Arabidopsis thaliana: one gene and its partners. The protein of the gene in region 3 purifies or fractionates together with the protein of the main gene of each other region. This does not show direct contact. Each region holds a gene or a part of one and is shown on either strand. Other genes may lie near its edges.

Region 1 (7,682 bases), on a different chromosome or scaffold from region 3:
AAAATATCACATATATGTATTTTTAAGAATAAACTAAAGTCTATTCAATTTATATGTTTTTTTCTTCAAAAAACTGTATATGTACATGCACACTTGTAAAAAAAGCGAAGAAAAATAGTTCCAATAATTTATCAAACTAGTACATGTTACAATGTAAAACTAATTAAGGTTTGAAAATTTCATAGTTCTTTAGACTTTACTTTCAAGTTGTAGGTGGGCATCTCCCTCTCGTTGTTACTTAACATGTATGTTTCTACATACTTGTTAAACAAACCTAAGTCTTTAAATAATTATTTCTCACTATACAGTATATAGAACATTTGTACACATTATAAAAATGAGGTTTAAATAATATTTCTTCTAGGATTATCTCATCTCTCTCTTTCATGGATAGTACAGAGTTAAAATCAAGTGCAAAAAGGGGCAATTATCTCAGCTTAAAAAAGTGATGAACAAGAATTTAATTCCTTCCTCTTTCTCAAGATAACCTCAAAGAGATCTTCTTATGAAACATATGCTTTAGCTATCTTTAACCCTTTTTCCCTTCTCTCTTTCTATTTCTCCCTCATACCTTTGTTTATTCTGATGAAGTTGTGAGCACTGAAAGAAAAGAAGAGAGGAGAAGAGAGATATGCACAAGAAGAATTAAACTTAGGGACACAAAACAACATGACTTGGTGCAATGACCGTAGCGATGTTCAGACCGTTGAAAGAATCATTCCCTCCCCGGGGGCGGCTGAGTCCCCCGTAGCCTCACTTCCGGTCTCTTGTCACAAAACTTGCCCTTCTTGTGGCCATAACTTCAAGTTTCACGAACAGGTTCTTGTTTCTCTTTCTACCTATATCAAGTTTAAACTTTAGATGATATTGGATATTTGAATATAATATATTAATATGTAATGTAGGCTGGGATCCATGACTTGCCGGGACTTCCTGCTGGAGTAAAATTTGATCCGACGGATCAAGAGGTCTTGGAGCATCTTGAAGGCAAGGTAAGAGATGACGCAAAAAAGCTTCATCCTCTCATTGATGAGTTTATCCGTACCATCGATGGTGAAAACGGCATTTGTTATACCCATCCTGAAAAATTGCCAGGTGATTCTATGTTGCATGTTCAATCATCAATTAATCGGTTACAAATTGAGACTATAGTTACAAATTTTCCGTCTTCAAATGATCTTCTAGTTATGCTTATTGAAAACTACATAAATACGTTGAAAAAACAATTTAATCATATTTTAATACGATGGAAATTGTCATATAGAAAAAGAAAATGTAGCTAATCCAATTTCTTAATTAAATTAAGTTTGATGAATGCTAATTAGTCGTTGAATACATATATAGGAGTGAACAAGGACGGGACGGTGCGTCATTTCTTCCACCGACCGTCGAAGGCATACACGACGGGAACAAGAAAGCGACGTAAAGTCCACACTGATTCTGACGTCGGTGGAGAGACACGGTGGCACAAGACAGGAAAAACACGGCCAGTTCTTGCTGGAGGAAGAGTGAGAGGCTACAAGAAAATCCTAGTGCTCTACACAAACTACGGCAAACAAAAAAAACCCGAGAAGACTAATTGGGTAATGCATCAATATCATCTTGGCACTAGCGAGGAAGAGAAAGAAGGTGAGCTCGTCGTCTCCAAAGTCTTTTACCAGACTCAACCACGTCAATGCGGTGGCTCCGTTGCTGCTGCAGCCACCGCTAAGGACCGACCTTACCTCCACGGCCTCGGTGGAGGTGGTGGCCGCCACCTTCATTACCATCTTCATCATAACAACGGTAACGGTAAGAGCAACGGCAGTGGGGGAACCGCCGGAGCCGGTGAGTATTATCACAATATTCCGGCTATTATCTCGTTCAATCAGACCGGGATACAGAACCACTTGGTTCATGACTCTCAACCTTTTATCCCTTAAAAACAAAATGATTTTATATCAACGATCCTAAAATAAAACAAACGGTATATAATCTAAGCATTATCTTTGATATACACATACATATATACGTTGAAAATAATTTAAAATTTACAGTGCATTCTTGTATTCGTAACTTGTTTTTTGTTTCTCTTAATTCTTTTTTCCTTTTGATTTTACGGCTTTGTACAATTTAAATTCCTTGGACTGAGACTGACCATGAAAAATATGTACAAAGATCTCCATTGGCTATTGACTATTGTTACATGAATTCATTTTGATATCTTGTCGGCTGAGATTTATGGACTCTGTAGCACGTTGTCTACATAAGCGTAAAAACTAAAACAGATAGGAAAATGTTGCCAACATATAGATATACTATCAATATTTACCAATTAATACACATCTTCATGATCAATTTTATACAAAAGGTGTATCGGGACACTGACACTCGTATAAGCAATAACCATGCAAATGCCTATGGTAAATCCAAATGCAAGTGTTTTTCTCCCCCAAACGACAAGTTTATTACAATTAACTCATTCAGCAAGACAGTATCTTCTTTTTCAACTTTCACCTTGAGATAGACTGATCCCAAGAATTTTAAAAGTAGTATTTAGTAGTACAAATCAAGCTTTTGTTCCAACGGATTCTAGGAACTTAAAAGACGAAATGACCCACATGCAGTTTTACTTAAGAAACCTCTCTAGTTCTTTGCATCAACATCCAAATTCATCCCTTGTAGGTTAAGCAAAAGATCGTCTGAGCTCAAGTAAACCTTGTTCGCCGAGTTTGCTATGGTCTGTGCAATCTCTCTTGCAGCCTCGATCTTCCTGAGCGTGATAAACGCTTGGTTGTTTGCAATTGCTTGACCAATGAGCTGAGCACTCTTGGCTTCTCCCTACACAAGCCATGTGAACTTTCGTCACACAACAATTTCGCTCTCAGAGTTTAGATTACAAGTGGAAATGTAGAGAATCTCTTTACCTGGGCGCGGATAACAGCACTTCTCTTGTCTTGTTCGGCCTTCTCAACAATGAACTTAGCCCGCTCAGCCTCTTGAGCCGCCACCTGCTTTGCTTCAATGGCAGCTGTGAACTCCTTCCCGAATGTCAGGTTTGTGATGGACACATCGTCAAGCGCAACATTGAAGTTTGCTGCTCGTTCAGTCAGAATCTTCCTGATCTCCCTACTGACCGCCTGAGAGAAGCCCGGAATAAATCTTTAAGAACTTCACTTACTAAGAAAGAGAAAAAAGATGATCATATATTCACAGTCATTTGTATACCTCTCTCTGAGTAATAAGCTGGCTTGCATTGTACTGAGCAACCACAGCTTTCAAAGTCTCGTTGATTATAGAAGGTAGAACTCTCTCGCTGTAGTTCTCACCAAGGCTTCTGTAGATTTCAGGTAACTGGTCTGCCATGGGACGTGTGAGAACCCTAAGCCCAATTTTCACCTGAAAGTTTTAAAACCACAAAAAACTTAAGAGCTTATGATGTTGAAGCGAACGACTTCACATTCACTAAATTCACAAAACAAAATGACTGAAAATGGGAGGAGTAGAAGCAGAGTACCATCTGAAGATCACGGCTTCCGGATGTACTCTCAACAAGGTAAGGTCGAGCACGAACGTCATAGATGACCGGCCTTTCAAACCAAGGAATCATAAGGTGTGTACCCTCAGGGTAAACCTGCGTAATAACAAGGTTACAAGCTACATACTTGTGAATTAAGAAGACTGTTTTTACGCTCAACGAGAACAACAAAATTTCATGACTAATCAGTCTCAGGGATTAATGAACAACATATGAGACTTTAACTAACAAATCAACCTGGAAAATTTCATCCAAATCTCACAAACAGCAAAAAAACTCATTGGGAAAATACATTTACTGAAAATCCAAAAAGACCCAATTTGAAGAAACACTGACTAACCTTATCTTTAATACCGACTAAACGATTGAACATGATGGCTCGATGTCCTCCTTCAACATTGTAGAGACTGTGCGTAGCACCATAGAGACCAAGCCCACCAATAATCCCAACCTTAAGCAACGTCGAAATGGCACCACCACCTGGTATCTTTGGAACTTTGACGTTGTTCATCTCTTTTTCTGAAACAATCCCAATACATGATTAATCAAAACCCATGTGTGGTGGAAAAACTACACAAACATACACTCAAAATCCAGACTCACATCTACTCAATTATGCAACTTCATCATGAAAACATCAAAAACAGTCAAAGTAACAAAATCAAGTCAGATTCAGCACACAAAGCCAGTAAAGATAGAAAATTTAACGAACGCTCATGCTAAGCTGCGCAAAATACTTCCTAATCAAAACAGTAACAACGAGTAATTAGCAAAATCCGAGCAGAAAACTCTCACCCACCTCCGAAATTCACGTCTTCACTAAAATTTTCGAAAGGAATCGATCAATACCAACCCATTACACAAAATACATAATCAAAATGGCGAGAATCGTACCTGGAAACTTTGCTTCAAGTCGCAGAGAGAGGAAAAGGAAGATCGTGGAGAAAGGGGTTTAGGGTTTAAGCTCAGACTTCTATTGGAGTAAATGGGACGGTGTCACATTTTCCGTTTTGGAAATGAACTTTGGGCTCACGTTATGGGCTATTAGATATTTGATGGGCTTTCTAGTAAATACAATATAAGTTATTGGGCTTAGTTTAAATAAGCCCATGTTGGAAATATTTGACACATGTCTTGGCTACTAGTGCTAAACATGCAACCGAACAGTTGTCGAGACAAGTCGCAGCATATACAATGGATCAAACACGCCTAGTGTCGCCGCGTCTCGCTCATGTGTCACCTTGTTTCCTCGTTTTTTTTTAATTTTTCATAAGTTCTTTTGTTTTATCTTCAATACAAATTTTTGGCTGTATCTTGCAAACTCTTCGATCATATCGCCAATATACGTGAACACTGGTGATCTAATTTGTTGTGTTAATTGTTAAATTTAGATTCTATTCTCCGGTTTAAAAGTGAATTATATGTATCATGGTTAAAACATTGTAAGTAAGATGATAATAAAATGATAAATTTAGTTGATGGATAACGTGAAGCAAAAAATGAGATAGATACATTTGATTTTGTCGTATTTTGACATATGCGGAGAGTGAGCTACGCGCATGAAGATCAAGAGACACTTGCTCGAGCTCACAGAGTGACGTGTAAAAAGCTTAGACTGAAGTCCCCATGCAAACCTAATCCTACGTGGCTCAAACCACGAGCTCACTTGACAATATATAAACTCCTCCTAAGTCCCGTTCTCTTCATCCATCTCTCACAACAAACAAAAAGAAAATGGTTAAGCTCAGCAATCTCCTCGTTGCAACCTTCGGGGTTCTCCTCGTCCTTAACGGCTGCCTTGCGAGGCAGTCACTTGGGGTTCCTCCTCAGCTACAGAACGAGTGTAACCTCGACAACCTAGATGTTCTCCAAGCCACCGAAACTATCAAGAGTGAAGCCGGTCAGATCGAGTACTGGGACCACAACCACCCTCAGCTCCGATGTGTTGGTGTTTCCGTTGCTCGTTATGTAATTGAACAAGGCGGTCTTTACTTGCCCACCTTCTTCACTTCCCCAAAAATTTCCTACGTCGTTCAAGGTTCATACATGATAATTACCCTTCCAATAAAATTAATGTATATATCATGTCTAATTAATGAAGATATAATCGATTCACCATATGATAACTCTTTTTTTTCCTCTCTACCTAAAATTAATTTACAGGAACGGGTATCAGCGGAAGAGTGGTCCCTGGATGTGCCGAGACCTTCATGGACTCGCAGCCGATGCAAGGACAACAACAAGGCCAACCATGGCAAGGACGACAGGGACAACAAGGCCAACCATGGGAAGGACAGGGACAACAGGGACAACAAGGAAGACAAGGCCAACCATGGGAAGGACAGGGACAACAGGGACAACAAGGACGACAGGGACAACAAGGCCAACCATGGGAAGGACAGGGACAGCAGGGACAACAAGGGTTCCGTGACATGCACCAGAAGGTGGAACATGTGAGACGCGGAGACGTCTTTGCCAACACTCCAGGCTCTGCCCACTGGATCTACAACTCAGGAGAACAGCCACTTGTCATCATCGCTCTTCTCGACATCGCCAACTACCAAAACCAACTCGACCGCAACCCTAGAGTAATCTCATACTATATACAAAGACGCACATCCGCTATTAGAAGATCTACCATATCAGTTTAACTAATTCATTTATGTATTGCATTTGTTGATTCTTTGCTATAGGTGTTCCATTTGGCCGGAAACAACCAGCAGGGAGGCTTTGGCGGTTCACAGCAACAACAAGAACAGAAAAACTTGTGGAGCGGGTTCGACGCACAGGTCATAGCTCAAGCATTGAAAATTGACGTTCAGTTGGCTCAGCAGCTTCAGAACCAACAAGACAGCAGAGGAAACATCGTTCGTGTTAAGGGACCTTTCCAGGTCGTGAGGCCACCTCTAAGACAGCCCTACGAGAGCGAGGAGTGGAGACACCCACGTAGCCCACAGGGCAACGGCCTTGAGGAGACTATCTGCAGCATGAGGTCCCACGAGAACATTGACGACCCTGCTCGTGCTGACGTGTACAAGCCCAGCCTAGGTCGCGTGACCAGCGTCAACAGCTATACCTTGCCCATCTTGGAGTATGTCAGGCTCAGTGCCACTCGTGGCGTTCTCCAGGGTGTAAGTACATTTTTCTTAATAAATTAAATATAGATATTAACATTTTTACCAAAAAGAAAAATTAGTCATATCCTAAATTATTTAAGAACGTATACAAATGTTTTAAAAATGAATTTGATAGATATTTATTCCTTTTTTTTTTCTTTAGCAAAACATATTAAAATTGGAAGTTCTATATGACGGATGACGTGTTCACATGTTTTGTCAAATGTTACAGAATGCGATGGTGCTTCCTAAATACAACATGAACGCTAACGAGATCTTGTACTGCACTGGAGGACAAGGAAGGATCCAAGTGGTCAACGACAACGGACAGAACGTGTTGGACCAACAGGTGCAGAAGGGACAGCTCGTGGTCATCCCACAAGGGTTCGCATACGTTGTCCAGTCCCACGGAAACAAGTTCGAGTGGATCTCTTTCAAAACTAATGAAAACGCAATGATCAGCACTTTGGCGGGTAGAACCTCGCTCTTGAGGGCATTGCCATTGGAGGTCATATCAAATGGTTTCCAGATCTCTCCCGAGGAAGCTAGGAAGATCAAGTTCAACACACTTGAGACCACTTTGACCCGCGCTGCCGGTAGGCAACAACAACAGTTGATCGAGGAGATTGTCGAGGCTTAAATCAAAACGTTTTTCTTTTTCTTAATAAAGTATGGTCAGTTTGTAATCACGTCCCTTTACCTTTAACGTACGTGTAAAATATGTGTCTGCGGCACCTCACTTGTAATAACACTTTCTTCTCATAAATAAAAGGGAAGTTTCGAGTTACATACTATAATATAGCGCCAGTTTTTTCGTCTATTCCACAAAACATAAGTTTGTGTCCATCTACTGTAGCTTGAGCTTCGTATATATACTTGGTCTTTATTCTTTTTTTTTTCAAAATACGGCTTTCTGCTTTCTGTGGGCCTAAACGGAGGCCCAAACGAATTAAAGTTCCGTCACTTGGAAACGTTATCCTAGATTACTCTTGCGGGGAAAAGTGTAGATTAGTTCCAATTTTTGAAGTGAAAAATTGTGTTGGATTCTA
Region 2 (7,817 bases), on a different chromosome or scaffold from region 3:
CTCCAACATTTGCCACAACAATCCTTCGCATACACAACGAAAGATGGGAAGGTACCATGTCCCACTTCACTCTTCATATTTTCATCTATCAGTTCAGAAACAATCTGGAAATTGACATAAAATATGAAGAAAAAACAGAGGTTTGATGGGTCAACATGATCATAGATAGCATCAATCTTTTGGTTAAAGCATGTGGAACCAAAATCCGACATGTTTGCATGCACATTCTAACGGTCCTGGATATATCTTTCAGGTGTTCCATTTATATTAAAGGCCGGAAAAGCGTTGAATTCAAGGAAGGCAGAAATTCGCATTCAATTCAAGGATGTCCCAGGCGACATATTCAGATGTATTGTCTTGCCCTGACATCGTGTTTTGAATCTTCTTTTAGCTTTTTGAATTTAAATATATGTAAAGACACAATGTATCGCTTTGTCTAAACTCTCTTGCAACAGGTCAAAAGCAAGGAAGGAACGAGTTTGTGATACGCTTGCAACCTTCAGAGGCAATGTACATGAAACTAACTGTAAGTATATGATGAACAAACAAACATAATTTACTAATTACTCTGACCTTGAACCACTACAGTGAACCATAACGCTTTTGGCTATGCTTTTGCTACACAGGTTAAGCAACCAGGTCTAGATATGAATACTGTGCAAAGTGAACTAGACTTGTCGTATGGGCAACGGTATCAAGGTGTCGCTATCCCTGAGGCATACGAGCGCTTAATTCTTGACACGTAAGAAATAAATTTTCTAAATTATATACTACCCCAATAGGCTTTATATATCTAATTGATGCCTTCTGTTCCTTCATGTTATCTTCAACATATTTTCTTTCCATCTCTCTGCAGAATCAAAGGCGATCAACAACATTTCGTTCGTAGAGACGAATTAAAGGTAGAAACATTTTCTAACGCCACCCTTAAACCAAAGCAGTCTCTGAGATCGTTTTTTTGTTACATTACAAATGCTCTAACTATAGACACAATCCAGACACAAACTTTTGCATCATACAATTCAGGAGCTAACATTTGTATCCATTTTGATGATTATTACAGGTTGCGTGGGAGATCTTCACGCCGCTACTCCACAGGATCGACAAAGGAGAAGTAAAGTCAATCCCATACAAACCAGGAAGCCGAGGACCGAAAGAAGCTGATCAGCTACTAGAGAAAGCTGGTTATCTTCAGACTCACGGCTATATCTGGATCCCTCCTACACTATAAAACCCTACATATATATAAATACACAATACATGTATCTACATGTATATGTATAAATTATGCTGAATAGTCCCTCCTCGAGTTTGGTGTTTGTACGTGAAACTTGCTACTTCAGCTGTTCACTTTGACACTTCCTTTGGTCTTGTATTTGCGGCTTTGTAGAAATAAAAATAAAAATCTTACCAATACCATAAATGAATTTAGCTTTTGTTGTGCTCGTTAAATGAATGAAATTGACGATGAGATAGAAAAAATTGCCAAAAAATGTAGAGTTTGTTGATATACACACATAAGTTCAATCTAGAGGTGGTTGAAACACACATTAAGTTCCATCTAGAGTTTGTTGACACAGACACATAAGTTGAGTCTAGGAACCGACGCCGTCTTTACATAGTCATCATTATCATTAGATGACCAAAAAAAAAAAAACTAAAACCGATGGATAAAATGGATCTCGATAGAAAAGGCTATCTTTCATGATTTCTCTTCTTTATTTGCTTTGTTTCTGAACTTGCTCTGTTTATGCAAAAACAATTGAATGTCCATACAGATCGAAATTTGACGTAGACTATCGACAGTTTATGCAAAATAGGTACCATCTAGATAATCCAGATGTGACCATAGTTTATCCGCATAGAACAACACTCCTAGGTACCATCTGTATTTTCTTTTCTCACGCATGTGTAACAAACAAATTACTTACAGTTCAGCCAAAATCATTTATTTGTTGAGAATTAGATAAACATGATGCTGAAAACAAAGATTCTTCAGGTAGAGTAAATTTTGCCGAGATTCAGAACACAATAATGACAACTCAAACAACTAGTTTCTTTTTCTTCTTCAGAGTTCATCAAAACAAAAGAGCATTTCACCTTTTTGATTCAATCAGATTCACAACTTGATCATTAAAATATCGCAAAATGCTCCCAAACAACCTGCACATAACCATAATACAAAGCCTTCAGACAAATCACAAAACGACTTAATTCTATGGATTCAGATGAAGCTTTTACATACCATCATATCTGATCAAGATCAACGGTTCAGGGCAAAGAGCATGCTCTGGCCACCGGGTAAGTAGGCCACATTAGGAGACCTAGCAAGTGTAGACGCAATCTCCCTTGAAGCTTCAATCCTCCTAAGCTCGATAAGTCCCATACCAGCTTTAGCCGTAGCATCAGAAATCAACTGAGCAGCTTCACTTTCACCTTCAGCTCTTATAACCGCAGCTCTCCTCTCTTGATCAGCCTTCATCACAACAAACTTAGACCTCTCTGCCTCTTGCTGAGCCACTTGTTTCTGCTCAACAGCCCTTGAAAACTCCACACCATAGGACAAATGCGTGATAGCTACATCATCAAGCACAATGTTGAAGTCCTTCGCACGGGTGATTAGTGACTCCCGAACAAGTGCTGAGACGTGAGGACGCTCAGTGAGAAGCTGGTCAGCGTTGAACTGTGCAACCACAGCTTTCAAAACCTCATTTCCAATCGAAGGAAGAACCTTCTCGTCATACTCTAGACCCAAAGTTTGGAAGATGTACGGGAGACGCGACACCTTCACAACAATTCACATCACATAAACACACCAAATTAATAACGATTCTACAATACCTAGTCCTCGAAACAAATTTTGAAAATCATAGATCATCAAAACCCTAAACCCTAAATCCAATTCGCAAATGAATCTGAAAAACCTCAATTCAGAGAAATCAAACGAGTCTAGATCAAAAATGAAGAACCGTTATGCGTTATACCTCAGGACGAGAGAGAACACGAAGAGTGAGATTAACCATCTGGAGATCCTTAGTACCAGAGATTGAAGAGAACGTGTGAGGCTTCGTGCGGATATCGAAGATGTGAGGCCTCTGAAGAATCGGGATCAAGAAATGAGTCCCTTCACCCACAGTCTGATCCATCACTCCCCTGAATCGATCGAAGATAACAGCTCTTTCTCCGCCGTCAACGGTGAAAAGCGATGTATTCAGCACCGTCGCCGCCGTTCCAAGACCGAAAGCAGCCTTCGCCAAATTGGAAAGGAACGAAACAGCCGCTTGTTGGCTTCCCATTTTTGCGTGTGGATTATCTTGAATCGAGAGAGAAGAAGAAGGAAGAAGAGATTTGAGACGACGAGAGAGGAAAGAGTTTCTGCTAGGGTTTATGATATGTTTCTGGAACCTACCACGGGAAATGATTTAATGGGCCAAGTAACTTAGCCCAATATTATTATGTGACTATATAAGCCTATTAAGAACTAAATTCAATAATGGGTTTCATGACATTGGGCTGAAAACAGCTTAACGGTTACAGAGTATGTTTAATATCTTTTTGTCTCATAAATTATGTTTCTCTCAATTTTTTTTATTTTTTTTTTACTGAAAGATAGATTATAGATAGAGTTTACAAAGTTAAAGCTGACGATTAACAAGATAATCTCAAAAACTAAGTCGACGGATAACAAAAATCCTCGGAGACTAAAGCCCAAAAGTATGGGAAGCTAACAAACATTACTTTAAATGCATAAGAAAATAGAAACTGAACCATGGAAAATCAAAAACTATAACCAGAATCTAGCACATGAGACATTGCCCACCATCAATCCAAGATAAAGAAAAGCTTGCAGAAATGGCTAAACGACGGGGAAATTCTAATCCACAGCATCAAGATAGCAGCTCTTCTTATAACAAATGAAGACTACCTCACAGTTCAAAAACAGCATCCCAACCAGCAAGAAGAAACCAAATATAAAACAGCAAAATCGAGGCAATGAAAACCAAGATCGGTCAACGCCAATAGTTTATCTCAATTTGTTTAATCAAATAAAAATTGAAGAATATACCTACTTGGACATTTGTATGGTGTTAAGGGCCTACTATAAAAGTATTAGATTAGTACAAGCCAACGGTAGTGAACAAAAATATTCTTCGAGCTACTTGACAAACACGAAGTTGAATAAGGATAACTACTTTTTCGTATAAGAAAAATATTTACATGTGAGCATGATTAATCCTTTTCAAATATAACGGCAGGGGACGTTGTTGTTGAGTTTTTCCAGTATAAAAAGTGTTTTTTTTTCCTTAAAAGAAAAGTTGTGAAACAATGATATCTATTTTTGAAAACTTTTTGTGACTATTTTTTGACCAACAAACAGTATACGCGAATACTTTTCTATTCGGTTAAGTGGGATTTGAAGACAGATGTACACGAGTATTAAAACTGAATCTGAAAGCATGTAAATCTCCAAATATTTTATCCGTAAAATTGTTATGTATCTTCGACCAAAAAAATATAGAGATATTATGTATCACTTAATTAATATGACTCAATTAAGTCGTCTCGAATACTAAGAAAATTATGGAGTTTTACTTGGAAGGTCACACAGTGACCTCACCACGTTATCGAAAATGTCAAATGTTTCGGTGTCGAATCTTATACAGGTTTGAAAATAACCTTTAAAATAGATTTATATTACAGAAAAGTCCTTCAATATTGATTTTCAATTAAAATATTGCAGAGAAATCTTTAATTTCAAAAACTAAACGCCAACTTCAAAGATTGAGCTAAATTCGATTCTTTCAACATTTTGACTCCAACCGGATATATATGTAGTCATCAATATTATCGAAACAGGTAAAAGAAACAACCCAAGTGAAGGAAACATGAATCTTTGATAACCAATTAGAGTGAGAAGTGTATAATTGTAAAATAAACAAACTGAAACTAATATTAATATATATATATATAATTATATATATACTACTACTACTATACTAGGTTATTTTGTCAAATATATATATATGGTACATGACAACAATAATAAGAAACAATTTACACTTTTGTGTTTGCTCATCAAGAAATTTGGAACAAAGTCCAACTAATCTTGGGATAGATCGACCAAAACAAAACGTTCACTTGGTTTTTAATCGGTCAGAAAGAATATGTTTAGGCTAAACATTGAATCGAATTATCATCTGACCACCAATGGTAGATCAATAAAAAGTATTGATGTGTTTTTATCTAGCTAGTGAAAAAATTTTAGAATTGCCATTTACTTAAATATGAGACTCATTACATATAATGCAAATATTCTTTAGTCTAAGCTATAATGGATGCTCATTTGTTGTTTAGTGCACATAATTTTCCTCCACCAATGGCCAGTATTTGTTTACAAACTAGTATAAGATAATGTAAGCTAATTATCACATACATGATGTCACGTTGATACACTAAATTATAAAAATTATAATTTAGTGTCAAAGTGCAGATCGAAACTATAGCTAATTGGTGGTGTTGAAATTATTCATACCTTAGTAATAATTATAAAATCAATTGATTGTAATCTAATAGTTTCGTTGACCATATACAACGAAGATGAAATAGATTGACGAGTAAATAAAAATAAATTTGCAATCTGGTGGAGATAAATTTCATCCTTAACCTACAACACTAGGTGACACGTAACAATTAAACCGAGTCAACTGATTATTTCTTTGAAGAAAACTTCCTCTCGTGTACAGCTTCCGAGATGCTTCACTGGAGGCATTAACTACTTTGATCATTTGATTTTTGTTTGCACAATCACTAAATGCAGATACAAACATGCCCGCGCTGAACTATATTACATAAGCATGTATCTCTCATTCGATGCGGAGATACAGACGGAACACTCGAGTTGCCAATTGCGGTTTAGTCTACACGCTTCTATTGAAATAAACATAACAAGTCTAAGATTATGAGCTTACGACATTGGACAACATCCATATAAAACTCCTGTAAACTGTAATTAGGTTATTTAAACCAGTAATTCATATATATAGGATATTTAGTGAGTTGCTTCTTTGAACAACGTATCTCTTTTTTTATTTTTGTCTACTATATTTTCATAAAGTTTTACATGAGATAGATTCATCTTGCGTTTAATCTATTTATATGGTATTAGTATTTATACGCTAATTTGTTCGTCTATTTTTCTCTTTTTTGGAAAAAATTCGAACTTCATCAGTTGACTCATTAAATAACTTTCCCAACAGAGTTTTACTTTACACGTTTTTTCTTCAATCCCAATAAATTCCACACACAAAAACCTAACTATAAAACAGTTTTGACTTTTAAACATTTCAATAACATTTTCTAATCATTGTTATTATTATCATAAGCCATAACATGTCATCACATAAATGCTCACATGCATAACGACGAGATAAATCGAGAGTAAAAATATTCTTTGTGCATATAGGAGTTGTTCGGAATCGGATAATGATGAATTTAGTTAGAATTAAGGACTCATCATACAAATAACATTCATCACTATACCTTTTTTTTTCTTTTTTTTTTTCATCACTATACCTATTTGCTTGAAATTTTTAACTAATTAATCTTATGATGATACCTTAATTTTTTCAACCATGTTGATGAATCCGTATATAAATATTTTATTTTACACATCTTCTTAGTTTCTATAGTTTTTCTTTTTTGGGGCAACTAGTTTCTATAGTATTTTAATTCAAGAATTAATATGGAAATCGTCGTAAAACATTATTCCAACTAATTAAATAACAATAACAAAATATAAGTCAATGGAAGAAAGCCACTTGACCGAAAAGCAGGAACATGACAAGATAGAAAATGACAAAATAAATAATTTTAAGAAAATAGAGATTGTTAGAACATAGAAGTGAACCATACACTTCATTATCTCTTCTTTTCATTGACTCTATCATTTTCTCAAAAGTCTTCATTTGGTGCATTTCTACGAACTTTCCTAGCTCCTTCACATTTAAACACTAGCAACAATGAATTAAATTTTATGTACAAACTAAAAGCAGAACATTAATAGTGGAAATTGAACAATGACCATATTTTGTTTTCGAAATATTTTTAAAACATTGCCAAGAAGAAATGAGAAACGGAGACATCTGATACTTTTGATATTTAACGAATAATTAATACTCCTATGATGTGCGTAACCAAAAGATCATTTGCTACAAACAAAACTATTATCACAGAGTCATAGATAAAATTATTGACTTTAAAGGTTGCGTAAAACCATCAAATACGCACACAGAGGCATATTTTTGGTTGTCTCACCGAGACAATAGTTTTTTTGTTTTTATTATCATATTTAACTTTTAAAAAACGAAAATATAAATTTGTAGTCTTGTAGAGATCATAAACAATATATAAATGGTTTAGTCAGAAGACTCAATAGTTTGAACAGAAATATAATATTTCCCTGTTTTGAGATTTACATAAGATGACGTTTTGAGAGTGCACAAAATATCAATAATGGACTGTTTGGCTACAAGTTTGCGGCGGTCAACGCTAAACACTGTACTAAACGCTAAACACACTTTCCAGATCGATATTTGTTATCTATTTCTATTTGTACTTGATCCAATTTAGCCAGCCATTTGGTATTCACATATTCGCTAAAATTCAAATGTTTGATCAAATATCGATCAGTTTGCTAAATCTTATTGGGGAAATTAAATTTAGAAGAGTTCTACAATTTCCTTCATGTTCTAAAATTTCCTTCATGTTCTAAACTATATGTGAAATTGTATTCTAAGAATTTCTATAGTTTCTAAAAA
Region 3 (7,457 bases):
TGAAACCTTAATGAGTTCTTGACTTCTGTAAGAGGAAACAACTCAACAAACTGTCTACCAACCAACTGTCTATGTCCTAATTTATGGTTTCTATTTCTTTATTTCCTTTTCCTGGAGTGCTTTGCTTAGCATTTTAATATGAGGATGTTAGAGAACTTTGTAGGTTTATGGGTTTTCAACAATAGACAAAACTTTGGGCTTTGTTTAATGATTTTACGTTTTGGGTTTGGTTGGTCCTTTTGCAACTTTTTGGATTTTTATCACTCTTAACACCACCAGTTCACACCCAGAAGAAGTTGAAGTTGATAGAAAGATTTACCTGTTCAGCTGCCCGGCCCCCGAGAGTCATGCAAGTCATATCAAAGAGTTGTTCTTTTGTCATGAGCAAGTTTTCATTTGGAACATACTGGGCAAATCCGAGCGCTGCTGTGCCACGAGGAACAATAGTCACCTTTAGCAACGGTTCCGCATGTTCCAGGAACCACCCAGCAACCGCATGGCCAGATTCATGATATGCAACTGTACGGCGCTCCAGCTTGCTTATTACCTGCGGTCATGAAACCACCAAAAGAGATTGTAGAACATTCAGGTTTCCGTTGTAGAAAGAAAAAAAAATCGTGCTGATAATATACGTCACCAATTTGTTGGGTTTCAAATTTGAGATTTATCCTAGATTCCTAAGGAGCAGGTTCCAATATAAACGAAAATGAACAAATAATAATATAAAAAACTGGCAATACGCCAAACAGTTGAATTTTGTTGATAAAGGCGAAAGCACATACCCGGTTTTTCTTCTCCAGACCACCAATAACACGATCGATTGCAGAGTCAAAGTGCGCCATTGTAACTGTTGCTCCTTCATGTCTGGCAGCAATAAGAGCCGCCTCGTTACAGACATTCGCAATGTCAGCTCCAGCAAATCCGGGAGTGAGGGCTGCAAGCCTTTGTGAGTAATATGAGGGCTCGTGATCAAGTTTGATCTTCTTCAGGTATATCTGGAATATCTGATCACGGCCTTTAATATCAGGTTTATCTATGGTTATCTGGCGATCAAACCGGCCAGGCCGTAATAAAGCTTTATCAAGAATATCTGGCCTGTTAGTCCCAGCAAGGACGACAACTCCAGCGGTAGTACCAAATCCATCCATTTCAACTAGCAGTTGATTAAGTGTGCTTTCACGCTCATCATTTCCACCAGAGAAACCTCCACGTCCCCTCGCACGGCCAATCGCATCGATCTCATCAATAAATATTATGCTAGGTGCACACTGTCTAGCCTCTTGAAACAAGTTTCTCACTCTGGAAGGTCCAACACCAACAAACATCTCCATGAAATCTGAACCAGATATTGAGAGAAACGGTACAGCTGATTCTCCTGCAGTAGCTTTTGCTAGAAGGGTCTTTCCAGTCCCGGGTGGGCCAACTAAAAGCGCACCTTTTGGGATTTTAGCTCCCAAATCTTCATATTTCTTTGGGTTCTGAAGGAAATGCACAAATTCCATAATTTCTTGTTTAGCCTCCTCGCATCCCGCAACATCTTTAAAATATATCTGGCAAAAAACAAAATAGATCAGTAGTAAATCTCAATAGCATCATGAATTGGAAATGAAGATGGTAATTCAACTTCTCCACCCTGATTGAAATGCTGACCTTATTCTTGGAGTTTTTATCTGCTCTCGTTATTTGAGCTTTCCCTATATTGAAAATTCCACGGCCAGCCTTCCCACCAGGTCCGCCTAAACCTCCCAGTCCACCTTGCATCCGTCTTGCCCCAAAAATTAGCGTAGCCACGAGAAGTAAAGTCGGTGCAAATCTCAATAGTTCCTGGTACCAGATAGTTTCACTGACGTAGGTGACAGGAACAAAGTCATGAGAATTAACGCCTATAGCTTCTTGGGCCTCTTCTAGTTTCTCCTCAAATGATTCAACACTACCAATATTAAAGTAGTACTTATACTGACCACCACGTCCTTTAGCAGGAACTCCATTACCAGGACCTTGAACAACTTCTTCCGTTGTTTGGCTTTTTGGTGAACTCCTCACATAGACTTTTGCGACTTCTTTATTGGAAACATCTATGTGATCCACTAAACCAGCCTCGAGGAGCTTGTTTTTGAACTCCTGGAAACTAATCTGAACCAACAAATATAACACGGATAATTAGTTGACATTCCTCAGGCCCACACGTCTGCAGTTATATAGATAACATGATACACAGAGTATAGTTGGACATGCTTGCCTGTTGCTGTTCTCGGGAACCAAGAGAGAAAGTAGAAAGGATTAAAGCAATGGCCATAAGAGGAATTAACATATTTTGATATTCATTTGAGAACGCGTCCCCAGCATTTTCGTTTTCATTTTTCTTTGAACCATCTGCATCGCAACAAATACATATTCAATTACTACAATCTTCAAACAAACTTTCACAATCCTTTCAAAATGAATAGTTGTCAACAATCCTACAATTGTGTGCCTAATTATCAATTCAATAAGACGATAAAATGATTCCCGAAACTCTCAAATGTATCAACTAGTCTACTCAATTTCTTTTCCATAGTACCAAATGGATTCGACATCCAAAAATACGAGAATGTTACATAAACCGTCACCTCTGGATTCAGATTTCTGCTCATTCTTGGGTGCTTTCTTACTGTCTTTTGGATAGTAGTTCTCATAATCTGCAAAAGAAAAGCAATTTAGGCTTCCAATTCTCTCTCAAATTACTGTGAACACCTAATTTGATCCGTATAAAAATTTAGGGTTTGCTACATACTCTTCTTCTTTGGGGTTTGACTAGAAAAGAACCGACGCAATCTAGGGTTAGCGAAAGCACGGCTTAAATCACCGGCTTCTAGTCCCTTTCGAGCAGCAAAAGAAGCAAAGTGCCGCCTCAAAAACCCTAATCCACCATCCACCTGATTGACGGCCGCCTCGAGATTCTGCGGCGCTCGTAACCTCCCTTGGTTAAATACCGCCGATCTCACACCACCGCCGTACACAAATCCCTAATTTCACCGGAAAATTGAAAAAAATAGGAAATTAAACACAAAATTAACAAGCGTCGGAAAAAAAGCATCACAACGAAACGAACCTTAGAACGTGAGGATCGAGCGAGGGAAGAACCAAGCTTGGAGAATATCATTGTCAGATAATCAGAACGAACAAAAGTGAGCTCGCATAATATATAGAAACCCAAAATCGGAGATCTAATCAAAACCCAAAAGGAGAAAGATGGCAGCTTTGGTTTCAGATAGAGCAAAGTAACAAAATTTTAACAAGTGAAAATGTGGTGATTGAAAAAAATAAAGAGCCCAGAACGAAATTTGTGATTTTTATGGTGTTTGTTGAGGACAACAATTTATGTCACACTTTTGAGCTGCTTGGGAACCAAGACATCAACGCGTTCCAGACTCCAACATATGTTGTTGTTCCGTGGATTATTTCAACCGGTTTAGTCTTTCAACTAAAAACCAACCGGTTATTTATTTCGCAAATCTTTAACGTGGTTAATGGCCTTAGCTCCAGTAAATTCGGGCCCTTGTTTAGCTTAATGGGCTTCGTTTTAACTAAGCCACATTATAAACGAGCATTTGACTCGAGTGGGGTATGTGTGGCAACTATTCCCACCTGAATATAACTACGCTTTAGCACGTGGCAGTACGTTCCTCCACGTGTAAGTTTCTAGACCGCAAGTACCTAGCAACTTCCAGAACAAGCTACGGTCACTTCCAAAACTAGTGTAATAAAGAAGCAATCTAATTAAGAACCTTATTAGGAAAGTGCGAGAGAGCGGACAAAAATGGAGGAGAAAAACTACGACGACGGAGATACGGTGACGGTTGATGATGATTATCAGATGGGATGCACGACGCCTACACGTGATGATTGCCGGATACCAGCATATCCGCCTTGTCCACCTCCGGTGAGAAGGAAGAGATCGCTACTAGGCTTTGGGAAGAAGAGGGAACCACCGAAGAAGGGATATTTTCAGCCGCCGGATCTAGACTTGTTCTTCTCGGTGGTAGCAGCCTCCCAAGCGGCAACCTAGTTGCGCTTAGATTGTGACTCCTCTTTGACTTATATTGTCCCGTTGGTGTGTGTGTATTAGATTGTGACTCCTCTGTGACTTATATTGTCCCGTTGGTGTGTGTGTATATATATTTAGTGTTTCGGCTTCTTTTTTTGGATGTAGTCATGTAGGATACGCAGAACAATGTTTGTATGAACTTTATGTTGAACTAGTTTGGTTTTGAACTTTTGATGTTAATTATTCCTTTTTTGTTTTGTTTGTTTTCTGTCAGGTTGGGAAAAATATAAGTGTTTTTCTATATTTAATATAGAAATGGTCTTTGTATTATTTGTAGTCATGGACGCGTTTTAAGTTTTCATAACCGCTACACTAGTTATTTTCTCTCCAAGAATAAATTGAAAGCTATGTGGGTTAATATGGCATAACGAGGGATGGAAACTCTTAAAGAAAGTCTTCAAGTCCTGGCTTAAAGTTGTGTGGTATACATATCTAGTCCGAGGACCAATACTGATTCAAAATCTGCTTGGTCACTTTGATCATATGGAGCAAATTTTTGCATACCTTATAGTCGAAAACACATTAATCTGTTGAAAGCCGGTTCACCACGACCGGAGAAGAGTGCGACGGTCCATAATTCAATGATATAGTGGGTGGGGGTAAAACATTTTTGTTGAATTGTGGATGCTATAATCTTTTAACATTATTAGAGTGTATATATATAATTTTAGTTATGGTTTAGTTTGGTTAGTATCTTTGGTTAAGTTTTCTTTGTATTTAAGCTTAATCATGTATCACATTTCACTTTAATGAAGATTTCACGATTATTGAAAATTGAAATGGTATTAGAGCCAATTGAAGATTTCACGATTATTGAAAAACATGTTTTTCCATGAACAAATATCGTTAAAGAAAGGAGTCTAGATTTGAAACTTTTGTTGTCCCTTTGTTAAGTACAAAAATTCAAATGTTTGATTGTTTAACTAACGCAAGAGCAAAACAAACAACTTGTCCTAATAACCATGCACATAAATGCTTCCAACCACGCAAATGCGTTTAACGTTATAATCCGACCACATAAACCAGCCAAACTTGGAACAACGGTCACTTTGACCCTCATAAATCAAGCAATTTCGACACCAAAATCTATCATTCCTCTTCACAAGTAACAATGTGTGTACTCATATATACATACTAGAAAACATGATCATCTCTGTGATTAACATGGTGACGTCAACACTAGAAATTAGATTGTGACTGACTTTTAGAGGATGAACTAACATGACAGTTTACCAATTGAAAAAAATGGTAGAAAGTACAACACAATGTTTATTTAGTGTAATTAATGGAGTGAGTTAATTTCGAGAAAGCCATAATTTTTTGAAAACATAAGTGAAAAAAACAAGTGGAATATTATTAGACCAAAGCTGTCTACTCTTGGCCCCGATTTCAAATTATTTATCGTAAGAAACACTTTACCCCCGTCCCTCTCTGCTCCTTTCTCTCCAAACACTCCCAAATGGCCCTCTTACAAAAATATATTAATGTTTTCAAAAATTTTAAAAACTCTTAGAATTGTAGACCACTGATTCATTAAATTGTTTGAGAGACAAGTCCGCTCCTTGAATTTAGACGTTTCTAGACAAATTAGAGACAATGTCTCTTATATTAACATCAACCACTATACCAATGAAAGATAATTTCCATCTTATAAAAAACGTTCAGTTTCGTCTAACCAAAAGATGTAATTTGTCATTTACAAGTAGTTTTATTCAAGGCACAGTGTTTAAGCGGAATACTTGAGTCCCCCCTCTTCTTTCAATTGGATCTTATATATTTAGCCGTAGGCATGATTCCAAAATATATATCTTGCATTTTGTGAAAATGCTTTACTCTTATTGATAAAATAGTATTCCATTGTGATTCCTCTACAAATTTCATTGTGATTCCTGTCCCACTATGTCAGTTTTATTGATAAAATTTATTGTGCTCTCTCACTCATGTGACGGTTGATTTATGTTAACAACGTCGTCCTTGTATAACACCAAAACGTAGTGTGTGCATATAATATATGCGATTACGGGTTACCCACGTCTTACGGTCTATACTGAATTATCTTGAAACATATGTAATCGAATCAAATATAAAATTTCATAGTAATATATGGTAAAGAAATATTCATACAACTCAATGGACTGAAATACAAGAAAATAATTGAGAAGGAAATTAACCTTCGAAGTTTGTTGAAAACTGCTTAACCATGATTATAACATAAAATTTAAGACTAAAACTCAAATTAATTAATGTAGTAAAAAATAATGAATTATATACACTGATCATTTTTCATATCTTTTTTGTACATGATATATGTAGATTCTTTCTTTATCTCTTAAAACTACTAGGGGACAAAAACAATTATAGAATGTTTTCAAGAAAACATGAAATATTTAGCTTTTCTGTCATGAAAACAACTTTATTTTATACAGCTAACTTCATTTGATTTTTTTTTTAACTCAGGTGTATAGAATTTTTTTTCCTAGTACTAAAGTAATTTTCTAATCATTAGTACTATTTTTGAAAAAAGTATAATAAGGTGTAAAACTTTGAGCAGGAGTTCCAATAATTAATCCTAATTACATAATAGTTGCACATTACGCAAAGCCGGGCTAGCTAAGAGTACAATTTAAACTTAAACTATTTCATTCCCTTGCCTTCACCATTTCCACTTAGTAGTTATTTTGGAAGCATTCACTATATAGTAGACATAAGCAGAGAGACACTATCCCTCTCTTTGCTTCCCTTTCTCTCTCTCTCTCCATCTCTCTAGATCACTATCTCTCCTTCTGGCTCAATCACCACAAACTCACAATCAAACTAAAAGTAAAATAAAACCAGAAACCCTCCATCTGAGTCAGAAGCTCTCATTCTCTCCCTCTCTCTTCTGCAACACAAAGATGGACGAGAAGTGGAGGCTGTCGAAAAAGGATGCATTAGCTGCGTCGTGTTCATCTTCTTCAACTTCATCTAAATCCAAGTTCTCTAGAAGCTTCTCCACAAGCGCTTCCTCCTCAAAAGCTCCTGCATTCGTACGGAGCTCATCCACCAAATGCTCAGTGCCTTCATCTTCGTCGTCTTCAATCTCAAGAAGTTCATCGAAAAAAGAGAAAGGGTCAATAACACAAAAGTACAGTAGCTTGGCCAAAGAACAGAAGGGAAGGTTTTACATCATGAGAAGGTGTGTGGCTATGCTTGTATGTTGGCATAAACATGATTCCTAGGTAGATATAGATCTCATGCATTTTTATTCTCTTTTTTTGAATGATTAGATCAGTTTGATTCTCTACTCTAAGTTGCCACAAGTTTCCATACTAGTACATTGTAAGAAGAGATTCTTTTTTGATAATATATTACTATTAATTTTGATAAGACA
Region 4 (7,218 bases), on a different chromosome or scaffold from region 3:
CTTGATGGTCGGAGACTGACCATCCCAGTCAACACTGTGATCCATCCCGAGTATGTGGAAGTGGTTCCAAATGAAGGAATGCCGTTGCAGAAAGACCAGGCTAAGAAAGGCAACTTGAGGATCAAATTTAACATCAAGTTCCCTACAACGTTAACCTCAGAGCAGAAGACAGGATTGAAGAAACTTCTCGGATGAATGGAGTTAAAATCAGCCCAGTCCAGTTAAAATCAGCCCAGTCCAGACAAAACAATGTAGAATACGAGAGGAAGTATCAAAGCTCCTATATATTGTGATTAAATACTGTTGTGGCCTTTCTGATCGATTTGTAGCATATGTATGAATGAGTACTGTTGTGACCTTTATGATCGATTTGTAACGTATGTATAATTAAATACTGTTGTATATTTCTGATCGATTTGTAACATATGTATGATTGAAGACGCCTAATAAGTTTGCTACTTCTTCTATAATCCAAACGCTTCTAAACTATGCCTATAAATGCAAGAGCATTGTTGTTTGTAATCACATCCTGATCTTGATGTGAAGTAAACAACTGCAGCACTATAGATATCTCAGTCCAAAAAGGTTTACTGTTATCTCCTGAAACGAATTCCTGAACAATGTTGTTCACTTCTATCAAACTACCACCTGGCGTTTTCTTCATATTTTCGTTCCTTATCATCTTTCTCAATCTCGAAACATCCTCCCATTTTCCCAAATCTGCGTAAATATTGGCAAGCAAAACATAATTTCCCATATCCTCCGGCTCTAGCTCCACAAGATGATCCATTGCAACCAGAGCAACATCAAGATTGCCTGGTGTTCTGCAAGAGCTCAACAATGAACCCCATATCTTCGAGTCGGGTTTCATCGGCATTGTCTTTGTTATTTCAACAGCTCGTTCTAGTTTTCCTGCTCTTGCCAAAACATCAATCAAACAGCCATAGTGTTCGATCTTAGGTTCTATTTGATAATCTTGTCTCATCATATCAAAATACCTCAACCCTTCTTGCCACATACCAACATGTGAACAAGCTGATAAAAGACCAAGAAATGTGATCCCGTTAGGCTTCACCTTCGCTCTCTGCATTTCATTGAATGTTTCGATTGCTCCGTGAGCGTTCCCGTGATATGCATACCCAGAGATCATCGTACTCCATGATATAACATCTTTCCCTTCCATTTGGCCAAACAATTGGATAGCTTGACTAATCACACCACATTTCGAGTACATTTCAATAAGAGCATTGCAAACACCAGTTTGTTTCAGAAACCCTCTTCTCTCTGCATATAGATGGATCCATTTCCCAAGCTCTAGAGATCCGAGCTGCGCACACGACGGTAAAACAGAAATGAGACTGATCTCATCAGGCTCAATACCAGCTAACTGCATTTCACGGAAGAAATCCATAGCCTCTACATAACAACCAATCCCAGTATACCCAGAGATCATCGCAGTCCAAGATACAATAGTTTTATCTAGCATCAAATGAAACAAGCCTTTTGCTTTCTTCATCTGCCCAAGCCTTGCATATCCAGAAAGCAAACTATTCCAAGATATAACATCTCTCTCATACATTTCATCAAACACTTTATGTGCATCAACAAGATCATCAAACTTCATGTACATATCAATCAATGCATTCTCAGTCACAACATGGAACCTAGGCCCGAATTTGCAGAGATGACCATGAACTTGCTTCCCTAAATAACATGATCCAAGACTCGCACAAGATTTAAACATAAACGGGAAAGTGAACCGATCTGGTAACTCAAAGCTCTTCCTGAGCAGTTGCTTGTAGATTCTGATCACATCGCAGTACAATGAATTGTGAGTATAAGCACGAATTATAGAATTGTATAAGAAGACATTAGGATTCGATACTTGGTTAAAAAGACGAGTTGCATAATCCATATCTTCAATCTTATCACAAAAATCCACCATTTTAGTGACCATGAAGCTGCTTTGTGATAATCCATGTATGATGATGGAGGCATTGATCTTCTTCCATTCATTGCGGCTTTTGACTCGCTGTAGAAAAGGTATAAAATAGTTTTCAACTTCTCTGATTCCATGAAACGCCATTAAAGCTAGATTAGGAAGCTCGTGGTGGTGGAATCAAATTGGCTCCGACCTAACGTCGTTAAACCCAGATGTGTGTCTCTCGGGGTTCACCAAACTTAGGCCAAAAGCCCAATTCTCATTTTCAGGCCCATTTGTTTGATCTTTTTCACAGCCTATTTTCCAGCTTTGTGAACATCATTATTACCAAATGTAAACAACTTGTAAAAACATAAATCTTTTCTTTTCTTCTTGATCTCACAAAAGAAAGACTACAAACGCACGATAGTGTCTGAAATTCACAAGATAGAACTCATAGCTTTTGGTCTAAGAATCCGTGAATTGAAAATACGATTATGGAAGAAGAGCTCTGGTGTGGTTTAATCATATCATTCTCTACTTCTTCGGCTTCACATCAAGGTCCATAGCCTGTAGGTTAAGCAACAGATCGTTAGAGCTCAAGTAAACCTTGTTCGCCGACCTAGAGATGGTCTGTGCGATCTCTCTAGCTGCTTCGATCTTCCTCAGTGTTAAGAACGCTTGGTTGTTTGCGATTGCTTGACCAATGAGCTGAGCACTCTTGGCTTCTCCCTACATAAACCCATGCAGAAACATCAGTTAGCAAGCTTTAAAATAGTTCACAACAAAAAAGAAAAAAAAAAGCAAGCTTTAACACAATCTCCGGTTTTTAAAATGCTAGAAAAGAGAGAAACACTTTTCACACCTCGGCGCGGATAACAGCACTTCTCTTGTCCTGTTCAGCTTTCTCGACAATGAACTTAGCCCGTTCGGCCTCTTGAGCAGCGACCTGCTTTCCTTCTATGGCTGCCGTGAACTCCTTTCCGAATGTCAAGCCTGTGATGGACACATCATCCAGTGCAATGTGGAAGTTTGCGGCTCTTAGAGTTAGGATTTTCCTGATTTCTCTACTCACCGACTTGAAAAACACCAAAAAAACATATATCCATTAAAAGGGACATCAATTTACCATTGAAGAGGAATCAATAAAATGTATTTACAGCCAGTTGGCTAACCTCTCTCTGAGTAATAAGTTGGCTTGCGTTGTACTGAGCAACCACAGCTTTCAAGGTCTCGTGGATGATAGAAGGCAAGACTCTCTCGCGGTAATTCTCACCAAGGGACCGGTATACCTCTGGTAATTGGTCAGCCATAGGACGGGTGAGAACCCGAAGCCCAATCTTAACCTGAATGTTTAAATACCACACAACATAAGCTTATCATGTAGTTCACACGACAAAACCACACGACCTGATTATACCCATTAGTATTAGAAGTGATGAAATGAAGCGGAATACCATCTGGAGATCACGGCTCCCAGATGTGCTCTCAACTAGATAAGGCTTTGCACGAACGTCATAGATGATTGGCCTTTCGAACCATGGAATCATAAGGTGAGTACCCTCAGGGTAGACCTACATAATCAAGCAAGCAAAGATATACTATTAATGGCGCATCAAGATGACTTTTGTAAACGACTATCAAAACTAGACTAAGAAATCAACCTTGTTTACTTAAGCTAGATGCGGCAAACACAAGATTCACTACTAACGGTAAGCCTAACCTAACGTGAGCTATATGCCGCAAACATAAGATTCACTAGTAATGCTAAGCCTAACCTAACTTCAGCTAGATGTCACAACCACAAGATTCATTGTCAATATACAGATTCAGAAGAAACCAATTTTTGCAGGGACTAACCTTGTCTTTGATACCAACAAGCCGGTTAAAGACAATGGCTCGATGACCTCCATCGACATTGTAGAGAGTGTGCGTAGCACCGTAAAGACTGAGCCCCCCAATAACCACCGCAGCTATAACACCACCACCAGGACCTTTGGGAACTTTGACATTCTTAAAATTCATCTTTTCACGAACACCTGCAAATTTGGAACCCAATCAAAATCCAAGGCAGAAACAGATAAATAGAGAAACGAAATGCGTTTGTAGATTAGACCCAAGGAAAACTTGGATCAACGAAAAAGAGACAAAGATAATCTGCAAATTAGCTGAAACGAAACAAAAACTTAGATCACAAAATTGAAGCCGAAGAATCTGAAGCTTTACTCGCTTAAACTAAGAATTCGATCTATAATGAAAATGGCGAGAGGAAGTACCTGAAAATTCTGGAAATGGCGTGGAGAAGAGAGAAGAGAGGGGTTAGGGTTTAAAGCTCAGAAATCAGGATTTTGTTGACGCTTTGGTCGATCACGCATTTTCTGTTACTAGAGATCTTTGGGCCCAAAATTTGTATTCAGGCCCATTAGTGAATTCACTAATTTATTTATTTTTCTTAATATATTTTTTTTTTAGTAAACGATTTTTATTTATTTTTCTTAATATATAAACGGCCATATTTGACATTTCCTTACTTTCTATACAAAAGAAATAATTCTCATTTTGATTAATAGATAGTAGATTAATTATTATCACTTTTCAAAAATGTAACTTTCAAACCCATATTTTGTTGCAAACTGCAAAGGCTCTAAACTTCTTGATGATTTACTACTAAACCTAAATGAAATTTCTTAACTTATATAAAGTGAGATATAGATGATGTGGTTATTTTGTTGATAACTTACTTTGGTTCAAAATTGGTCATCATTTAATAATACATGTATTTAAATTCAAAAAAATAATACATGTATTTTTATAAAGGAAATTTCAAAAAAGAAATATCAAGGCATAGATGAATCAAATCAATCATGCAAATAAATGTTTGTTTTTCGGGAACGTTTCCCTCGCTTTTAGTTAAAGGTTCAAGCAATATATATAACCGAGCAACAAAACAATGCAAAGCTAACAACAATCCCTAGACTTGTCCTCTTCACGCTTGATCCGGCAGATTTGTGCTCATCATCAGCAGCTGGAGAATCGGCATCAGACGATGAAGTTGAGGATTTCGGGGCAGGAGCTCCGGTGGGAGTGGTCTTTGTTCCGAATAACTCCTCCGGCAACAACACACTGTCCACCACGTAAACTGCTAGAGGAAACTGTTGCCTTAATGCATTATTGATCCGAGTCTCAACAACACCGGTGGAAACATTCACTTGGTTGCTTTGTGCTTGTCCTGTGAAATTTAACCCAAAAACACCTCCGTCTTGTCCCGTAGCCTGAGTTCTAACGGGATTACTTGCTAAGAGAAGATCGCTTAGAGAGTAGTATTTTGGAATGATATGGTAGAGCATGAGCTGGATTTGTTGTTGATATGTCAGACTGTTTAGGGTTCCGGGTTTAAGCTTGTTGAATGCGTTATCTGTTGGGGCAAATATAGTCATCCCTTGGTCAGAGCTATTGAGTTGTACACTTACCTGAAACCCGACTTGAGTTGTGTTGAGGAGTTGTATTAATGTGGTAAATTGGTGACCAGCTTCAAGAATCGCTGTGAGATTGATGGGACTTTTTTCAGTGGTTGGAGCTGGAGCAGTGGGCTGGCTTTGAATGTATGGGATGGTGAAAAGGAAGATTAAGAGGACAACATAAGAGAATAGTGACGAGGACATGGCTTAAAATTTGTTATATTTTTCTCTATCTCTCTGTGTGTGCTTGTGCTAGAGCTAACCCTTTAGGTATTATATAGAAAGATTTTAAGGAGAGATTTAAGACGACATGTATGCGTGACTTGCAAAAGAAGTTGATCCATTGTTTTTAACAACTTAGTCTACATTTTACGATAATGTTTATAATTAAGAAATGCAAAACAATACTATAAGAAGGTTGACAAAATGTATATATATATATAGAATTGTATCCCACATCCGATAAGATCATAAGAGATTTGTAGGGCAATATATATCGTATATAGTATACAAACTCATGGTTCACCAGTTAGATTACACAACAACAAAAACAACTTGAAAATGTTAGCTGGTCATGGTTCATGAATATCTTTACATTTTTCTGTATTTAAAATGATGTGGATACGTGTATATAGTCGAATATAGTCTGGCATTGATAGGCAACGTGGGGGTCATATATATTATAACAACGAAACTGCTCTACATGACATTGGCATGGGCAAAATTTGGGCTGGAACTGGAAAAATCCTCGTAGGGCATGACTATAAGAAAAGGCCCATTAAAAACATGAAAAATTAACAAAGTTGGAATCATAATCGACTGACGAAACTAATCTGTTAAAATTATGTGACTTTCTTAATACAAAATAGCGTTGTACTGGTTTAGGATTAAAATCGTTCGGACCTCTTGTGGCCTTGTGGGCACATGGTGCGCCGTGCGTAGCTCACGTGAGGACTGACGATGACATGCAGCAAAAATAATAAAAAGAATACGTATTTAGCAGCAGATTCAGACAAACTCATGTGCGTTTCAAAAATGACGTTTATATCCCCCTAATAATTATATTCACTCTATCCACTTTGACAAAAAGATCACGTTAATTTGAATTCTAAGGGTAAAAGCGTCAAAGTATGTCTCTTTTTCCGAGGTAATAGCAATAGGCAACTAGAGGAGACCGATAACTCAAGCAAACTCAGATTCTTGATAGCGATTTAATGAAGACCCAAGAGTCCCAAGACCAAGGGCTGATTAATTAATGCTGTTTTAACCATATGCATATCATGGACACACTTTGTTCTCCGAGTCGACTCGTTCTGGTCACCTTCTTCCTCCTCTGCTTCTTTGCCGGAGATTCATCGGCGACGAGGCCTGGTTTCATCTACACCAGACACAGAGGACGATGCACGCCGCAGTAAATCAATCAATCTTGAATTTCATTTTCTTTACAAAAATCTTTAGCTGAGTCATATCTCAACTCGTTGGTGGTGTTTTTGAGCAGGTATTGGAGCAGCCAGAGGGAAGCATGGCCGAGGATGGTACCTGAGAGATCAACCGTGGAGAAAATATTCGGAGTGATGGTAGCAAAAGAACGGTGGAGATCTGATCTAACGCTAGTGGAATCAACGGCTAGGAATGACGAAGAAGGGAACGCGTACGGTGCATTGCTGAAACAGGGGATCGCAGCTCTGATCAACTCTTACGCGAGAAAAAGTTTCTCTTATGCACCATGGGAAGTGAAGACGATGCTGATCCAAGCCATGGTTTCGGAGTCGGCGGCTCGCCGGCAAGCCGAACATTTCGCCGTCGCTAACGTTGCTTGTGACTAAAAACACTGAGACA

Evidence for each region.
Region 1: the proteins of ftsh10 (region 3) and PHB1 purify together in Arabidopsis thaliana (affinity purification with mass spectrometry, with the first as the bait; one study listed by BioGRID). This does not show direct contact.
Region 2: the proteins of ftsh10 (region 3) and PHB3 purify together in Arabidopsis thaliana (affinity purification with mass spectrometry, with the first as the bait; one study listed by BioGRID). This does not show direct contact.
Region 4: the proteins of ftsh10 (region 3) and PHB6 purify together in Arabidopsis thaliana (affinity purification with mass spectrometry, with the first as the bait; one study listed by BioGRID). This does not show direct contact.

Annotation. Positions count from the first base shown.
Region 1 is NC_003075.7:14,082,345-14,090,026, forward strand, and holds PHB1 (prohibitin 1), read right to left. Parts: upstream 4,539-7,682; 5' UTR 4,412-4,538; intron 4,037-4,411; 5' UTR 4,029-4,036; coding exon 3,858-4,028; intron 3,614-3,857; coding exon 3,497-3,613; intron 3,379-3,496; coding exon 3,208-3,378; intron 3,120-3,207; coding exon 2,907-3,119; intron 2,821-2,906; coding exon 2,626-2,820; 3' UTR 2,280-2,625; downstream 1-2,279. Other genes in the region: NAC073 (NAC domain containing protein 73), read left to right, coding at 670-819, 906-1,095, 1,345-1,922; CRU3 (cruciferin 3), read left to right, coding at 5,252-5,555, 5,681-6,105, 6,211-6,648, 6,866-7,273. UniProt on the Arabidopsis thaliana protein: Prohibitin probably acts as a holdase/unfoldase for the stabilization of newly synthesized mitochondrial proteins.
Region 2 is NC_003076.8:16,313,326-16,321,142, forward strand, and holds PHB3 (prohibitin 3), read right to left. Parts: upstream 3,967-7,817; 5' UTR 3,297-3,966; coding exon 2,985-3,296; intron 2,786-2,984; coding exon 2,264-2,785; 3' UTR 2,246-2,263; intron 2,164-2,245; 3' UTR 1,525-2,163; downstream 1-1,524. Other genes in the region: G6PD6 (glucose-6-phosphate dehydrogenase 6), read left to right, coding at 1-51, 254-349, 456-526, 627-742, 857-902, 1,064-1,231. UniProt on the Arabidopsis thaliana protein: Prohibitin probably acts as a holdase/unfoldase for the stabilization of newly synthesized mitochondrial proteins. Necessary for mitochondrial and cell metabolism and biogenesis.
Region 3 is NC_003070.9:2,301,374-2,308,830, reverse strand, and holds the start of ftsh10 (FTSH protease 10), read right to left. Parts: upstream 4,397-7,457; 5' UTR 4,049-4,396; coding exon of another isoform or gene 3,800-4,048; 5' UTR 3,143-3,799; coding exon 3,092-3,142; intron 3,006-3,091; coding exon 2,774-3,005; intron 2,679-2,773; coding exon 2,610-2,678; intron 2,374-2,609; coding exon 2,240-2,373; intron 2,134-2,239; coding exon 1,651-2,133; intron 1,551-1,650; coding exon 783-1,550; intron 548-782; coding exon 320-547; intron 1-319. Other genes in the region: AT1G07500 (uncharacterized protein), read left to right, coding at 3,800-4,048; RTFL3 (ROTUNDIFOLIA like 3), read left to right, coding at 6,982-7,305; AT1G07485 (uncharacterized protein), read right to left, coding at 6,939-7,166, 7,252-7,326. UniProt on the Arabidopsis thaliana protein: Probable ATP-dependent zinc metallopeptidase. Involved in the assembly and/or stability of the complexes I and V of the mitochondrial oxidative phosphorylation system.
Region 4 is NC_003071.7:8,839,028-8,846,245, reverse strand, and holds PHB6 (prohibitin 6), read right to left. Parts: upstream 4,275-7,218; 5' UTR 4,198-4,274; intron 4,090-4,197; exon of another isoform or gene 4,038-4,089; intron 3,961-4,037; 5' UTR 3,947-3,960; coding exon 3,782-3,946; intron 3,496-3,781; coding exon 3,379-3,495; intron 3,268-3,378; coding exon 3,097-3,267; intron 3,000-3,096; coding exon 2,787-2,999; intron 2,654-2,786; coding exon 2,459-2,653; 3' UTR 2,224-2,458; downstream 1-2,223. Other genes in the region: AT2G20550 (HSP40/DnaJ peptide-binding protein), read left to right, coding at 1-195; MEF21 (mitochondrial editing factor 21), read right to left, coding at 482-2,086; FLA6 (FASCICLIN-like arabinogalactan 6), read right to left, coding at 4,840-5,583; AT2G20515 (pollen Ole e I family allergen protein), read left to right, coding at 6,651-6,790, 6,878-7,205. UniProt on the Arabidopsis thaliana protein: Prohibitin probably acts as a holdase/unfoldase for the stabilization of newly synthesized mitochondrial proteins.